Linked DNA regions of Saccharomyces cerevisiae S288C. The protein of the gene in region 3 binds, or shares a complex with, the protein of the main gene of each other region. Each region holds a gene or a part of one and is shown on either strand. Other genes may lie near its edges. The genes, in order: SOH1, CSE2, MED1 and MED4.

Evidence for each region.
Region 1: MED1 (region 3) and SOH1 share a complex: the UniProt entries of both Saccharomyces cerevisiae proteins name them as parts of the mediator complex.
Region 2: MED1 (region 3) and CSE2 share a complex: the UniProt entries of both Saccharomyces cerevisiae proteins name them as parts of the mediator complex.
Region 4: MED1 (region 3) and MED4 share a complex: the UniProt entries of both Saccharomyces cerevisiae proteins name them as parts of the mediator complex.

Annotation. Positions count from the first base shown.
Region 1 is NC_001139.9:269,759-273,036, forward strand, and holds SOH1 (mediator complex subunit SOH1), read right to left. Parts: upstream 1,018-3,278; coding exon 634-1,017; downstream 1-633. Other genes in the region: U2-type spliceosomal complex subunit CWC23, read right to left, coding at 1-386; SCS3 (Scs3p), read left to right, coding at 1,239-2,381; methylenetetrahydrofolate reductase (NAD(P)H) MET13, read left to right, coding at 2,762-3,278. UniProt on the Saccharomyces cerevisiae protein: Component of the Mediator complex, a coactivator involved in the regulated transcription of nearly all RNA polymerase II-dependent genes.
Region 2 is NC_001146.8:641,848-645,387, reverse strand, and holds CSE2 (Cse2p), read right to left. Parts: upstream 1,645-3,540; coding exon 1,195-1,644; downstream 1-1,194. Other genes in the region: DEAH-box RNA-dependent ATPase PRP2, read left to right, coding at 1-1,068; NRM1 (Nrm1p), read right to left, coding at 1,949-2,698; LRO1 (phospholipid:diacylglycerol acyltransferase), read right to left, coding at 3,007-3,540. UniProt on the Saccharomyces cerevisiae protein: Component of the Mediator complex, a coactivator involved in the regulated transcription of nearly all RNA polymerase II-dependent genes.
Region 3 is NC_001148.4:683,909-688,792, reverse strand, and holds MED1 (Med1p), read right to left. Parts: upstream 2,896-4,884; coding exon 1,195-2,895; downstream 1-1,194. Other genes in the region: YPR071W (uncharacterized protein), read right to left, coding at 1-621; SPE3 (spermidine synthase), read left to right, coding at 3,356-4,237; HOS1 (histone deacetylase), read left to right, coding at 4,440-4,884. UniProt on the Saccharomyces cerevisiae protein: Component of the Mediator complex, a coactivator involved in the regulated transcription of nearly all RNA polymerase II-dependent genes.
Region 4 is NC_001147.6:656,090-660,101, reverse strand, and holds MED4 (Med4p), read right to left. Parts: upstream 1,356-4,012; coding exon 501-1,355; downstream 1-500. Other genes in the region: ALE1 (lysophospholipid acyltransferase), read left to right, coding at 1-287; DCS2 (5'-(N(7)-methyl 5'-triphosphoguanosine)-(mRNA) diphosphatase), read right to left, coding at 1,777-2,838; YRM1 (Yrm1p), read right to left, coding at 3,532-4,012. UniProt on the Saccharomyces cerevisiae protein: Component of the Mediator complex, a coactivator involved in the regulated transcription of nearly all RNA polymerase II-dependent genes.

The DNA.
Region 1 (3,278 bases), on a different chromosome or scaffold from region 3:
TGGCGTTGGATTTGCAATAAATCAGGATGTGGTGTGGTGGTGGGTATCGTACTCGATTCAGATTCTTCCAGCTTTTGTATAAGTTTATTTCTTTCAATGTCGTTTGTTTTCCGTAGGAACTCAATTAACCAGCGGTCGTAATGGGGTCTCACGTCTGCATTGGTGAGGATATTAGTTGCGGTCGATAATAAGTGGAATTTGTGTATAATTGATGGATTGTCCGGGTGTTTGTCAGGATGATACTTCAGGGCAAGGGTCCTGTATTTGCGTTTAATTTGGGGCAAATCATCGTAGATGGTATGGACGTCCAGGGGGGTCGGTAATTCTAATACATCATATAGGTTCAAACGTTGATTTATTACGTCTTCCAATTCGTGTCCTGGCATAGTCGTGGCGAGGCTTGTAGTACGGCGATGGACTTGCTTTTTGATTTTGCTTTCATCTTCTAATGTCTTGCGAGATAATATGCAAGGAAAACAAAGGAAAGAAAATACAAAGTAATGCGGCTTGCATATATATATACATATATATATGTATATATGTGATATATATATGTGTGTGTGTGTATATATATTCATGAGTGTATAAAATAGATATATGAATGCGTGCGAATGTAGTTATAATTAGGTGTGTTCAGTTGGCCCATCTTTCTACCATTTCATTCATCCATTGCGGGCCTTGTAATTGAATGATCTTGGGCAGCTCGTCTAGCCCTTCCAGCAGGCCATCTTCATTAACGATCGCCGACTCCATGAACCCGTTCAACAGCTTTAAAATGAAGAGACAGTTTGGATACACAATGCATTGCGAATAAGGGGGGTTGCACCAGTACTCCAGGTATTTCAAGTAGTTTTTGAAGTTAGGAGACTTCCAGATCTGCTGTTGAGTGAGTAAGTACGTTACGTATTGGATGTTTGCCAGTGACTGGATAAATTCGAGCTCCACTTCGAACCTCGTGGGGAGAGGATTTTGATCCGAGGAAGGTGTCGCTGGTGCGTTTCCATTAGTGCTTGACATCCTGGGTGGAGCTTGGGGGAACTTTGCCGTCTTATGAGTGCTATAAGTTTTGGCTTACTTTGCCTCATTTTTCCTGCATTTCTTTTTCTTTTTCATCCTTTAAGAACACGTTAGCGGGAAAACCGTGAAATAAAATACAAAACGAACTGTTCGAAAAAAGCCAAAGGGGAAACGCCTAAAACTCCACTGAAACCAGCTATAAAGCACGGCATATTACAACAATGTCTAGCAAATGGTTTAATGCTATACACCTACTGGTGTGCCCGTTGACGGTACTGGTAGGATATCTCATGAACGCGTATGGCTACGGTGCGGCGCTGCAAGCAACCCTGAATAAGGATGGTCTGGTAAATGCTATGTTGGTAAAGAAAGGGTGGTTTTGGACTTCCTTGGTCGGATGGTGGTGTATTATACGCTACCGTGCGGTGCCGGGGGCAACCGGCAGAGACCGAAGACACATTGTCCAGTCATTCAAAAGGTATGCCATACTGACAGTGTGGTGGTACGTATTCACGCAAGGTATATGGTTTGGCGTAGGCCCCATCATGGACTTGGTATTCGTATATACGGGTGGCCATTGTCACTATGACGTCTTCGATGATGCAGGTCACGTGAACGAAGACTTCCAGGGTTCTGTCACCCGGACTAATCGCGCGTTGGCGCTCATTCACAATGTCCTCACTTTGCACGGACACCACCAAGAACACCGTCAGCAACAACTCTGGGACCGCTCCATAGGGTCGATCCAGGGCGCCCTGCAGGCGACGCAACCGAAAACCCCAAAAAACGTAACGGCCAGCGCTGCCGCTGCCATCAATACTTTTATTCATGACCAGATGCACAGGTGGCAAGGTCCGTTAACCACCTCGGCACAGTGCAGACGTTTTGGAGGCCATTGGGCTGGAGGACACGATCCATCCGGGCACGTGTTCTTGGCCACCTTGATGTGCATGTTTCTTCTAGGTGAGCTACGTGTGTTTGGGCGTCGTGCACTGGCTCACTTGTACGCGCAGAAATGGCAGCTTGTACGATTGGTGACCCGCCTTTTCGACACTGGACCGCTATGGACGTGGCGGCGGTGTGGCGGCGGCTCAATGACCTGTGGCGCCCGTTTGTGGCGTGCGATAGTCGAGCCGCCTGTCACGTGCGCGGCCGCCCTGCTCCGTTTGACGCGATGCATAGCATGCGACCACCCAGTAATCATACTGCTGACGCTATTGGTCACGTGGTTATGGCAGCTGCTGTTGACTGCGGTGGCGTCCCGTTTCCACACCGTACGTGAGCACATGTCTGGATTGCTAGCTGCGTACATAGTGACAGGCCTTGTCTACGCTCGCGACGCAGCCGCGCTACGTCCAGTATGACTCAGGAAAAGTTGGCGATAGACCACGAGCGACTGAAAAAATAACAGCGACTTTTCTCCCGGTAGCGGGCCGTCGTTTAGTCATTCTATCCCTCGGATTATAGACTGTGAATATTGCATATGCAACTTTGACTCAAATTTTTCCAAAATTTGATATATATATATATATATATATGTTTGTATGTATATATATATATACGTATATATATCATATATACGAAAAGTAGAAAAAAAAAGGTGATATTTCGCTCGTGGAAAAGCTAATGCCACAGCTTGTGTTTCGTGTAGTTTGCCTTGCTCCCCTTGATTGAAATAGTCTCCCTAAACTAAAGTTATCAGCAAACAGAACCACCACAGTTACTACTACAACCACATCGCAATATGAAGATCACAGAAAAATTAGAGCAACATAGACAGACCTCTGGCAAGCCCACTTACTCATTCGAGTACTTCGTCCCGAAGACTACACAAGGTGTACAGAACCTGTATGACCGGATGGACCGGATGTACGAGGCTTCTTTGCCCCAATTTATTGACATCACCTGGAATGCAGGCGGTGGACGGTTGTCACATCTGTCCACGGACTTGGTTGCGACAGCGCAGTCTGTGCTTGGTTTGGAAACGTGCATGCACCTTACCTGCACCAATATGCCCATTTCGATGATTGACGACGCTTTAGAAAACGCTTATCACTCCGGTTGCCAGAACATCCTAGCGCTGAGAGGAGATCCTCCTAGGGACGCAGAAAACTGGACTCCCGTTGAAGGTGGCTTCCAGTATGCCAAGGACTTGATTAAGTATATCAAGTCCAAGTACGGTGACCATTTCGCTATCGGCGTTGCCGGCTACCCGGAGTGCCATCCGGAGTTGCCTAACAAAGACGTGAAGCTTGATCTCG
Region 2 (3,540 bases), on a different chromosome or scaffold from region 3:
GTTAAGGAAAATTCGTACGTACCCTCCACTGGAATGACCCAACTTTTAACAGTTCCATGCTCAAGAGCTTCAGTTGATCAGCGTGCCGGTAGGGCTGGTCGTGTTGGGCCGGGAAAATGTTTTAGAATTTTTACCAAATGGTCATATTTGCACGAGTTGGAACTTATGCCTAAGCCTGAGATCACAAGAACAAATCTTTCTAATACGGTGTTATTATTATTATCGCTTGGCGTTACTGACCTAATAAAGTTTCCCCTGATGGATAAGCCCAGTATCCCCACATTACGGAAGTCTTTGGAAAATTTATACATTTTAGGTGCCTTAAATAGCAAAGGGACAATCACTCGGTTAGGTAAAATGATGTGCGAGTTTCCTTGTGAACCTGAATTTGCAAAAGTGCTTTATACAGCTGCTACGCACGAACAATGTCAAGGTGTACTAGAAGAGTGTTTGACCATAGTTTCGATGCTACATGAAACACCTTCATTATTTATTGGTCAAAAAAGAGATGCTGCGGCAAGTGTGTTAAGCGAAGTGGAAAGTGATCACATATTGTATTTGGAAATCTTCAACCAATGGAGAAACTCTAAATTTTCCAGAAGTTGGTGTCAAGACCACAAAATTCAATTCAAAACGATGTTGAGGGTAAGAAATATTAGAAACCAATTATTCAGGTGCAGTGAAAAGGTTGGATTAGTTGAAAAGAACGACCAAGCCAGGATGAAGATAGGCAATATAGCGGGCTACATAAATGCTAGAATAACTCGATGCTTCATCAGCGGGTTTCCGATGAATATTGTACAATTAGGCCCCACCGGCTATCAAACCATGGGTAGGTCATCAGGTGGGCTGAACGTTAGTGTTCATCCTACCAGTATACTTTTCGTTAATCATAAGGAAAAGGCGCAGAGACCAAGCAAATATGTGCTTTATCAACAATTGATGCTAACGTCGAAGGAATTTATCAGGGACTGTCTAGTTATCCCTAAGGAAGAATGGTTGATAGACATGGTTCCACAAATCTTTAAAGATTTAATTGACGATAAAACAAATAGGGGGAGGCGGTGAAGGTTTTTTGACAGGTGTATGTGTATTGCTAGAAACGCAGGCTCCATTCTATATGCACGTTTGAAGATGTGGTATGCGTATGTATATATATATATATATATAGACTAAAGATAGATAGCATAGATTTTATCGTTGTAACTTGCGATAAAGATCATCCAAGACGTCTCTCTTAATTTGCAGTTCTTGTTCACGTTGATGGATGATATCCTGCCATTCTGATGGACTTTTACTTAATAAATCCTTGGTATCTTCGTTTTCCGATATCAAAGATTTACAAAGTTTCAAACGATGTCTAATCGAACCTGTTAAGGTTTCCAATTGATTTGAGAGATTGTTTGGATCCTTCCTTATTTGGTGCAGCGAATAAAAAATATGCGGTATAAATTCACCGTTGGAACTGGTGGAGGGAGTACTCAGATTTTTCGGCTGCTGGTTGGTAAGATAGTCTTTTTCATCTCTATTTTCTGCAGACGAAAATTCTTCCTTTGTAGCCTCAGCATTAGGTTTATCGAGAGTAGGATTCGTAGGCAGCAGAATCTGGTGTATCTGATTTAAAACGTTGTTCTGTAGATTCATTTTATGGCGACTTTCAGTGCTCGTGTCTCTCTGGTAGATGCTGGTATGCTTCGCCTTCTTTTTCCCATTTATGCATGTTCTCTTTTTTTCTTTTATTTTCTTCAATTCGGTTACAGTTAATGGCCGCAGTAGAATTGCAATCGATACTAATAAAATCAGGTTTTATATGATATTCTATCTAATTATACGTACAGAACTAAAGCGGAAGTGAAAAGGTAATGTGGAAGATATACGAAGACAATAATATTATTATATACACAATGAAGGAGAATGAAAATGAAAGATAGAAATATTGGGGGTGGGATTATTGGTTACTTGTAAAGAGATGAATTAAAGACTTAGCGGCTTTGATGCTTGTAGGTGTTTCTTGTCTCTGATACAATGTGCGATTATGACTGTTTGAATGCTTTGTGTTTATGTTGTTGCGTATTGGTGTGGTGGTATCTGCGACGTTCATATCTGCGGTAGTGCTCGAGCTTTCGCTGACACCGCGGAAAGATGTAAAGGAAGATGTATTATCGTGAGAGCAAATCGAAGATGGAGTTTTGATCTTAGACCTAGCAGGGGTTTTATAATGACCCTGAGATAGTACTAATTTTCTTCTCCTAGTTAAAGGTTCTGATTTACTGTGAGTCGCGACTTTGGAAGGCCTCGTAATGCTATGCTTTGATTTCAAGTCTGTGAAATTTTTGTCTGTTTGCTTAGTCTTGTATTTATAATAGGCGAACTGTAAACGAATTTGCAACTTCTTGGAAAGCTCAGAGTAATCTCTAGACGTTGTTTTCGTACTAATACCATCCTGGCATGAGGACTTACTGGCACAAGCCATACCTCCGCCACTGCTCCTCATTAGGGGAACAGGAAGACTCTTCGTGTTTTCGTATACTTCAGGACTAACCATCAAACTCTTGATAGAGGGAAGACACACAGTCCCGACGTTGTTTTCTCCATGGTTTCTAGGCTCGCTAGCGTCTGCAATATTGGCAATTGCCAGTTTGTTGATCTTCGAGCTGGAAAACTCCCCCAGTGGTAGCCTCTGCTTCATAATGGACATGAACGGTTGTTTTTCCTCTATGCGTACGTCGCTGCTGCAATTGGCCCTCTCCGCAGCCTACTTAGAAAACAGTGTTTTAAGTTTGTGTATATATAATCTATAAAAGCAAATAACCAATTACACAAACCTGTCAAAAACCTTCTCCTCTATCTACTGTCGTTTGTTTTTTCGTTTGTTTTTTCGCCTTTTTTTGTTTTTGTTTTTGTTTTCTGTTTATTTTCTAGCCTAAAAAGGCGCGTCGACGCGACGCGCCTTCTTTTCGCTCTTTGAAATAATACACGGATGGATAGTGAGTCAATGTCGGTCATTTACATTGGGAAGGGCATCTGAGAAACCCACTGGCTCAAATTAGACAATTGGCGTGGCTCGACGAGATCGCCATTACCGCTTGCAATTTTCAAGATGTAATCGTTCAACTCCGCGCTGCCGAGGATGTCTACGTGTTCGGCGCTTTTTGCTCCACCACGTATATCAAATCGATCTGGCTGGTGTTTCATTTCCACAATAGTAACGTTAATTCCGGCAGGGTTGTACGGTGAAGCACCCTGGGCCCATTTGTGACACATTGAATGCGCCACGAGCGGAACGGTTCCGTCCCCCTCGGTGAGGAATACAGGTTGCTTGCTTTCGTAGTCGATGGTCAAATTCAGAGCAGAGGAGTCATCCTCTTCCTTATATACATATGCCCTTTCAGTTGGGTTGTTCACCCCGTATATACAATAGATTTTCATGTGGGGAGCTTCTGGAAGTGGTACTTCCATTGGATTCGACCAGTGCTTGTGGTGTAGCTCATTTTTTCTTAACTCTTCTTCATTCTTGGAATAGCCGAACGAGTACTGCTC
Region 3 (4,884 bases):
CTCTGATGTCTTCTCATCGGTAGAAGGTCTATCATTCTTTTCTAGTGGGCCGTTATGTAAATAATACTCTTTGAATAAATTAGCCGTCATGTAATGGATAAATGCACCAATGAATCGCATTGGTATGATAAGCCCTAAATAATCTCTCTTGCCTGGATCCTTCGTTCCAGGAACGCTTATACCCCGACGACTCATTTCTGTCATAAAAGAGGCCAGTTGAATTATTAAGTTAGAAGTGGTTAGAGAAACGTATAATAGGAAAAAATATAACCAATTCTTATATTTGAACCAATTGGGGGATCTTATTCTTGTATTGCAGCGAGAGCATCTTATCTTCGTACATCTTGGAGGCAGTAGATTAATCTTATGTCTATATCCTCTTTCCATCCACACAGCAAACCCCCAAATAGAAACGATCGCTGAATATGCTACGAACCAGCCCACAGTATTATCAAATGTCAAAAGTTTAAATGGGGGAAAGGGTACAAATGAATATGCAAACATTTTTCCGATGAAAATTAATCGCATTACTTTCATAGTAAGTCTGACGGCTAACGGCGGCAATACATCATCATTACTACGAGCAGGAATATTGCTTTTGTCTTCTGTGCCGTTTTGCATAATTCCGTTGCCAATCGTCTTGGAACTGGAAACATTTAATAAATGCACTTAAAACAGAAAGGGCCTTTTTTATATATTAAATTTTTGACTGCCAAAAAAATTTCCAGTTTCTACTCTCTTTTTTACTGAAGTAGCAAGCGGCCTGCTGATTTATTTTCTAGACAGTACACTTACAGCTGCCCCGGGATCTTGATACATAAATACGCTGCAGCAAGAAAACGCAGAATGGAAAAAAATATATATATGCAGTAATAATATCGACCTCCTCCTACCTACCTATCTACCTATCTAGCGTGTTAGTGGTTCTTGTTTTAACCTTTTTCCTACATTTTTAGTATTTCTCACAATGATAGAGATGTCCTTGATTATATATATTGGCAAATGACCGGTAAATGGCTCAGTTCGCAAGCTCATTTATTCTAACGTTTATCTTTTTTAGAATATAGGCCACACTAAACAAACTCAGTCATATGAGGTATGAAAAGCATGCACCTTGCACTAGAAGGTGTACGTAAACCTAAACTCCATCGAGTGTACGGTCCACAATGTGTATTTGAGCCACTCCGTACCTCCTTAGCTAACGATATCCTGAAATTTTTCAATAAATTTACTCCAGCATTTTACATCATCATACAAGTTACATTCTGAAATAGTGTCGAGAATGATATGATCTTCACTTACAATTAGTTGTAAGACCGACGATTCAGGTTTACTAGGCTTAGAACTGACGTCTTTCATTTCTATGTCTGCGTCATCCGCTGTTGCAGTACCATAATTTTGACTAGTGCCTTGCAGTACACCATGATCTTCCATCACAATATCAGTTCCTGCATTTTCTTGATTCGAAACAGAGGCGGTGAATCCGAGGTCATTGGCACCATCCATAGTTGTAGAGTGCTCTTTGATGCTGTCTCCATTTTCCTCCTCTATTGCGGGTTCAGATAAAATTTCGTGCAAATTAAATTGCTGTAAACCCTCTTCTTTAAGCATCATTGCTTCAGTTATACTGGGACGTTTGCTTTTATTAGTTGAAGAACGCCTTCTTCTAGAGGCCTCTACTACACTTCCATGTCTGTTACTTCTTGGAATTGGCTCAGTGTTAGATGTTGAAGAATTTTTGTCTTTAGTCGAGGTGGAGAATGGAGCTTGATAGTCAGGTTCAAGTTCCGATGAATTTGAATTTGAACTAGGTGTGGAGACCAGTTTAAAAACATTTTGAAGTACTATCCTCGACCATTGAACCCATTTTAGTATCTCAGAGATTAGATCTAGATTGTCATTACTTATGTCAAATTTTTTAATATTGATTAATTTTGTTGTAAAATCGTTCATCAGTTGTATTCTACTATTGTAGTTATTGTTCGAAAATAAATCAATTATAGGTGGCGAAGAAGATGAGTTTGATGAACATGTAACTTTATCTATAATAAGTTCCGGTGATATGAAATCCTCAGGAAACCAAATTAAGTCTGTATAGTTACTTTCCTTAGCGTTTGCTACTATTTCCATAACCAAGGAAATGCCGTTAGAAAAATTCTCAGCAGATTCATTTATCCAAGATTTGGTTTCTTGTGAATATATGTACTCATAGAACCTGTATTGTGAATCGCTTTTGTTTTCTTCTAAATAAATTTTGGCTAAAGGCACTTCCTTACCATTGATGCCCTGGGTTAAAATATATATTCCAAATTTATCATTCAAATTGGTCCTGACTTTAAAGTCGCAACAATTGTCTTGGAAACATTGTCTTATATAGTGTGATAGTTCCGTGAAATACTTAAAAAGATCAAGTTTACCTTGGTTGTTAAATGATGCGTTGCTTGAATCTAAGCTTTTGTCAGAAGACCCATTATTATGGGAGGTAGAATCGGACTCGATGTGGGAATATGCATCTAACAGATATAGAAACTTCAAATTGTTATGAAAAGCTTTCAAATCAGGATACTTTGTTAAGGAATTTAGAAGAATGTTGCTTTTTTCATGCTCTCCATCTCGTTGGTTAAAGTAGTCAAAATTATCAAAATTAGATGCTAGTACGAGTTTAACGTCCTGAATTCTGTCTTGCTTCTTATTGTAGTCAACATCTATCACGATAATTTTAGATGCCGTCGATAATCTTGAAAGTTCATTACTCAATTCTTCTGTGAAGGACTCGAGACCCAAAGTTTGACAAAGTCGTGTTATATTCTCCAAAGTTATGGAACCAGGTTTGTAATCCTTGAATAATTCAATCATGGAGTCTAAAGTCTCCACATAAGAGTCTCCTTCTACCATCTCCAAAAGAGTTTTGTTGGCTTTTGTTCTATGTTTTCTTTGCTTTTGATTAGGAGTTCTTTTTCAAACACAAACGTTCCTTAATAGGTAACCTTCATTTTAAGTTTTGAAAAATTAATTAGTTGCAATTACATCCTGACAAAAAAAATGTTGCAAGATTTCGCAAAAAGTACATTTGCAATTTTTAAAACATCAAATACCTACTCGTAAGTACAGGATTAAGACAATATACAAACGCGATTCTCTACACCAATATTCTGCACCTGCATGATTTCAGGAACTCCTCATTTCTTTGCTTGAGAAAAAAAATTTTTTCACCTTTCATTTTTTTCTCTAAAAATGCTATTGGCATGAGATAAGGAATAGCTGTGATATAAAACTGACTTAGTAATTTAGTATCTTGTACGCTTCACATAGTAGTTCAGTCAAGAAGAGCAAACACTAATAAGCAATAAATCTAATGGCACAAGAAATCACTCACCCAACTATTGTAGACGGCTGGTTCAGAGAAATTTCTGATACCATGTGGCCAGGCCAGGCCATGACTTTAAAAGTGGAGAAAGTTTTACACCATGAGAAGTCAAAATATCAAGACGTTTTGATCTTCAAATCCACTACATATGGTAATGTTCTAGTTTTAGATAATGTAATTCAAGCCACCGAAAGGGATGAATTTGCCTACCAAGAAATGATTGCCCATCTTGCCTTGAATTCCCATCCAAATCCTAAGAAGGTTCTTGTTATTGGTGGGGGTGATGGTGGTGTTTTGAGAGAGGTTGTCAAGCATGATTCCGTTGAGGAAGCCTGGTTATGTGACATTGATGAAGCTGTTATTAGACTATCAAAGGAGTACCTACCAGAAATGGCTGCCTCTTATTCTCACCCAAAGGTTAAGACCCACATTGGTGATGGTTTCCAATTTTTAAGAGATTACCAAAACACATTTGACGTAATCATTACTGACTCTTCTGACCCAGAAGGTCCAGCTGAAACCCTTTTCCAAAAGGAATATTTCCAATTGTTGAACAGTGCGTTGACAGAAAAGGGTGTAATCACTACACAAGCAGAAAGTATGTGGATTCACTTGCCAATCATTAAGGACTTAAAGAAAGCCTGTTCTGAAGTTTTCCCAGTTGCAGAATACTCTTTCGTTACTATTCCAACTTACCCAACTGGTACGATTGGTTTTATGGTTTGCTCCAAAGATAAAACTTGCAATGTCAAGAAGCCACTACGTGAAATCTCTGATGAGAAGGAGGCTGAATTATACAGATACTATAACAAGAAAATTCACGAAGCTTCCTTTGTTCTACCAACCTGGGCAGCCAAGGAATTAAATTAGGGAGAATATACATATATATGCATATGTTTGTTTAGCTAAATAATTTTATTGAGCTTTGCTTGGGAAATTTCTTCATATTACTACTTATAATAAAATAGAATATGAAAAAAACTAAAAAATTAATAAAGAAACAAAAAGTAAAAAAAAGGTGTATGTACTGTAATATGAATTAATAAACACCTGTCCATTTTAGAAAAACGCTATGTCGAAATTGGTCATATCAACGTCAATATTTCAGTCTCAAGTAGCAGATTTACTCCCATGTAACAATCATCAAAAATCGCAGCTGACATATTCCCTAATAAACGCGTACGATCTTCTCCAGCACTTTGACGAAGTGCTAACATTTCCCTACGCCAGAAAGGATGATCTGCTGGAGTTCCATTCGAAATCATATATCGATTATTTGATAAATGGCAGATTCAATAAAATGATGGCACAAGATGTAAATAATCCCATGGTAGAGTCCAAATGGAGTGAGTTGAGTGAATTGGCCGATAATTGGAACGAAAAAATCGACTACAATCCATCGCAAGATCTTCAGAGATTCACCACTAGAGAGAATCTCTATAATTATTATCTGAATCACTCACAAGCGCTCGAAAATAATATGGACTGTATTAATAACAGTGAGGTGCCCACCAATG
Region 4 (4,012 bases), on a different chromosome or scaffold from region 3:
AACATGAAAAGGGAAAGACAGCAGAAGAAGAAGAAATGAACTTAGGTATTCCACCAATTGAGTTAGAAAAGTGGGACAATGCTAAGGAAGATTGGGAAGATTTCTGCAAAGATTACAAAGAATGGAGAAATAAAAATGGTCTTGAAATAGAAGAGGAAAACCTTTCTAAAGCTTTTGAAAGATTCAAGCAGGAATTTTCTAACGCTGCAAGTGGATCAGGTGAACGTGTGAGAAAAATGAGTTTTAGTGGTTACTCACCAAAGCCTATTTCAAAAAAGGAAGAGTAGATGGCCAAAAACGACAGATGCGTGTGGAAGTCACAGTCTTGTTGTCTTATTTTCCAGTTCCTGTGGGAACTTACTTTCAAATGTTTTTCATACACTTTGACATATTGCAGTAAATTATATATGTAATTTTATATACGCTTTTACCTACACGAATTATTGTCTAACTTTTTTTTTTCTTCATTCCTAACGAGGAAGAGATTCAAGACACTGCAACTAGAAGTCGTCCGGATCAAACAGATCAAGATCAAGATCTAGGGCATCATCATTATTTTCTTCCTTTTCTTTATCTTTGGTATTGTCTGCCTCATCACCAACTTCTTTAGCAGTACCATCAAATATAAACGAGTCTGTCTTTGGTGTACCTTCTTTCTTGGCCATCTGCCCTTTTTGTTCTTCACTTTGAGATGGCGGTACGGTCGGTACTTCTGTTTCTTCTACTTCTTCACCGGGTATTCTAGTTAGCTCTTTACTATGTAATGAGGCCATAGCAAGCATTCCTCTTCGTAGGGCATCCTCTGCGGGCCATATAAAATTGTTGGGTCCCACAGCTCCCTTGTCGAACGTTGGTGGTATTTTGGTAAACTTGGAGAGTTTGGTGGCATAATCCAACAACTCTGTCGAATTGATTTTCGATCTTTGCTGTAAAATTGTGTTTTTCTCGAACTCTACTTGTTCAAGCATCGGTAGTGCTTTTAACTCGTCATGACATTCATTTAGAATTTCCAATATCTTCCTGGTTTTAGAATCTAGTTCTTCAGAGTCTTTGTCAATCTTCTGTAAGTTGCGGTAGATATTGTCATATTCAGCTAACAGTTTGACGTTTTCAAACAAGGCCTCATCAGTTCTGATCAAATCCTTGGCAATATCAAGGTTTGGTTTGAAACGATCTACAGATTCCACCAACTTACTCAATGTATCCTCGTACCGGCACAAATCTTCGTAGAGTTGGACCTTAGATAATTTGTCTTCACTATTCGTGTTTGAAGTAGCCTCTGCTACCAGGGATACAGAGGATGATCTGATGTGACCCATAGAAAACTCTACCGCTTTAGTATCTTGGACAGACATAACATTCGTTGTGTGTACTCTGGAAGTAATTGATACTAGATGCTTTCTCCACCGTTAACAATATACCAGAAAACCTTGTTGAAAACGGGACACGTTATAACTACTTTCCTTCGCGGTATGGTGAGCAGAGAATGCAAAAGTTTATCTTTTTCTCCAGCCTACCTTACGTAGGTGGTAATGCACTATTTTTTCGCATTTCTTTGAAAAGGCTGGCAATACGTCAAAGGCTATGTATGCTATAAGGGAAAGAAAGCTTATACGGAAAATAGCAACTGAATGTACTATGTTACTGTGCATTCGCATTCTATGTTAAAATTCAAAATCCATTGAGATGTATACACAAACATTTAAATAAGACATTTATATAAGCCGGCGCTTCCTGAAGTTCAGCACATGAAAAAATAGTGCTGCTCTTCTACCTTCAACCCAAATTGGTATTGAACCCAGAGCCTTTTTCAGGACTGGTTGCGATACCATCATGCTTCAGTTGCTTTTCAACTTCTTCCTTAAAGCCCTTTTTCCATAAATCATGATTTTCACCAATGACATAAGTAAGCGTCTTCTTCATATAACCTTCAGGACCTAAGAAACCCAACGCTTCTATAACATCTTCCAACAGTATTGTCATTCCGGAGCCTCTCTCCTCGCCTACTCCTGGATGCCTTATATTCACTATATGGACATGAAAATGGTAATATGAAGGTTGATAATGAATGAAAACTCTTAGCTCGTCCGGGTTTACATTATAGTCATAGTGCTGGGGGATGATGGTCTTAATCTTCTTATTGAGTCTAATTAACCAATCTCTATGGTTTGGGTTCAAATCTCTCAAAGATTTGATGTCGTCCCTGTACACGATCGCGACCAGGTATAACGAATCAATGTTGATTCCGTCCCACTTCATATCGGGCAAGATGACGAATCCATCCTCTTTATTCCTGCTACTGTATTCCTTATAAACAACTCTATCATCCTCGGCGCCCTCGTAAAGAATGTTGTTTACCCATTTCATTCTTTCGCTGGTACACATCTCTTGGATAAAGGGCACAACTATGTTTCTATACATATCAGGAGTTTCTCTGACGACATGTAAATCCTGCTGGTCGTATCCCTTGATGTGGAACTGCGAGGCGGGCCAAATTAAGTTAACCTTCGCAGTTGGGTTATGCAAAATATGCTGCTTCAAAACAGACAACCCCCAGTAGTAGATGTCATTCGAAGTTAATTCCTTCAGATCAGTAATACCGTTTAAAAAGGAGTACTCGTCTATTTCACGATGAAAGAAAATCGGAGTGCTACGGCCACTTTGAGAGGGTCTACGTACCGTTTCATCAAATATGAAATGCGTCTTTTCAGCAGTTAACACGGCATCCTTCCCATCTATGCTGCCTAGTAGTGAGATTACCTTTGTATGAGGGTTCGAATCTAACACCCTGACGTATTTAAACCTCCCAATTAAACTAGCTAAATCTTGGGAACCCATCATGTATTTTTTTACTTTTACACGCTCAAATCTTTTCAATTTTGCAATGAAAAGGTACCGACCTAACATATATTTGAAGACCAAACGAAACCCCCGTGCTTCTGTTTCTCTTCTTTCTGCCTTTATACTCATTGGTATTGTCACCCCTTATTTCCCCCCTAGGCGTCTGCGCGGCCGCTGTCATGGGGCTGTCCTTTCGGACTAGCATATAATCACTGACGCTAGCTCTAATCGATCAATAATTAAGTGGAAGTATTTTGTTGAGGTGGGTGATTATTATGGGGAAGATTTTTGACAATCGAATGAACACTTTAACAGCTTTTGGAGGCTAGAGTGCCAGTAAGCTCCATACTTCTTTGGAGTTGATTTCTTTTTCTTGCAGAATAGGTTGGACAAAGTACATCCATCAGAACAATTGCAGGTGCCTTTTGTTCACGCAATTACTGGCTTTTCCTTGTTTGTTTGGTCAAGAAGTTAGTGTTTAGCTTTTTCCCTTCATTTTTTTATTTTTCTTATTTTATAGATGCTTAAATGTCATTTTTGTCTTACTAATCATTAAATAGTTGGTCCGAAAGATAGGTCCAAGCGCAAGTCCAAGCCAATGGCTTGCTCTCGACTGTCTTCCATTACAATATGCAAGTTTTCTATCTAGCTGCTGTCGCAAGCATGTTTTTTTGTAAAAGAACTTCTCCTCTACTGCGTATCAAATAAATATTTATAATCTGGCTGACTCATTAGTTCCTCCCAGCCAAGGTTGTACGCCGTCCAAAATTCGTTGGATATTGTCTGTGCCAGTTCAGTCTCAATTGGCCCAGTTTCATTGTTATGCGAAGCGTTTTCGCTGTTATTTCGCACTTCCTCCGGGGGTAATCCTGGAGAATTTCCCGCCAATGGACTGGCGCTTGTGACGCCCAGGTCACTTAAACTGGGATCGATTGGAGTATTTACATTGTCAGTGAGCGAATAGGACCCATTCAATTCGTCTTGGAGTTGTTGTAACCATGTGTTTTCGACCTCGGTTCTATATTTGATTACTTTTTCCAAAACAGCTCTATATATGCTTTCCAGGGCGATGTTGATAACAAATGTATAAGAGCGAGCCATAATAATTCTTAACTGCTTGTTGTTATCATTAGACCATTTAGCAAATATATCTGAATGTATTTTGAAAGCA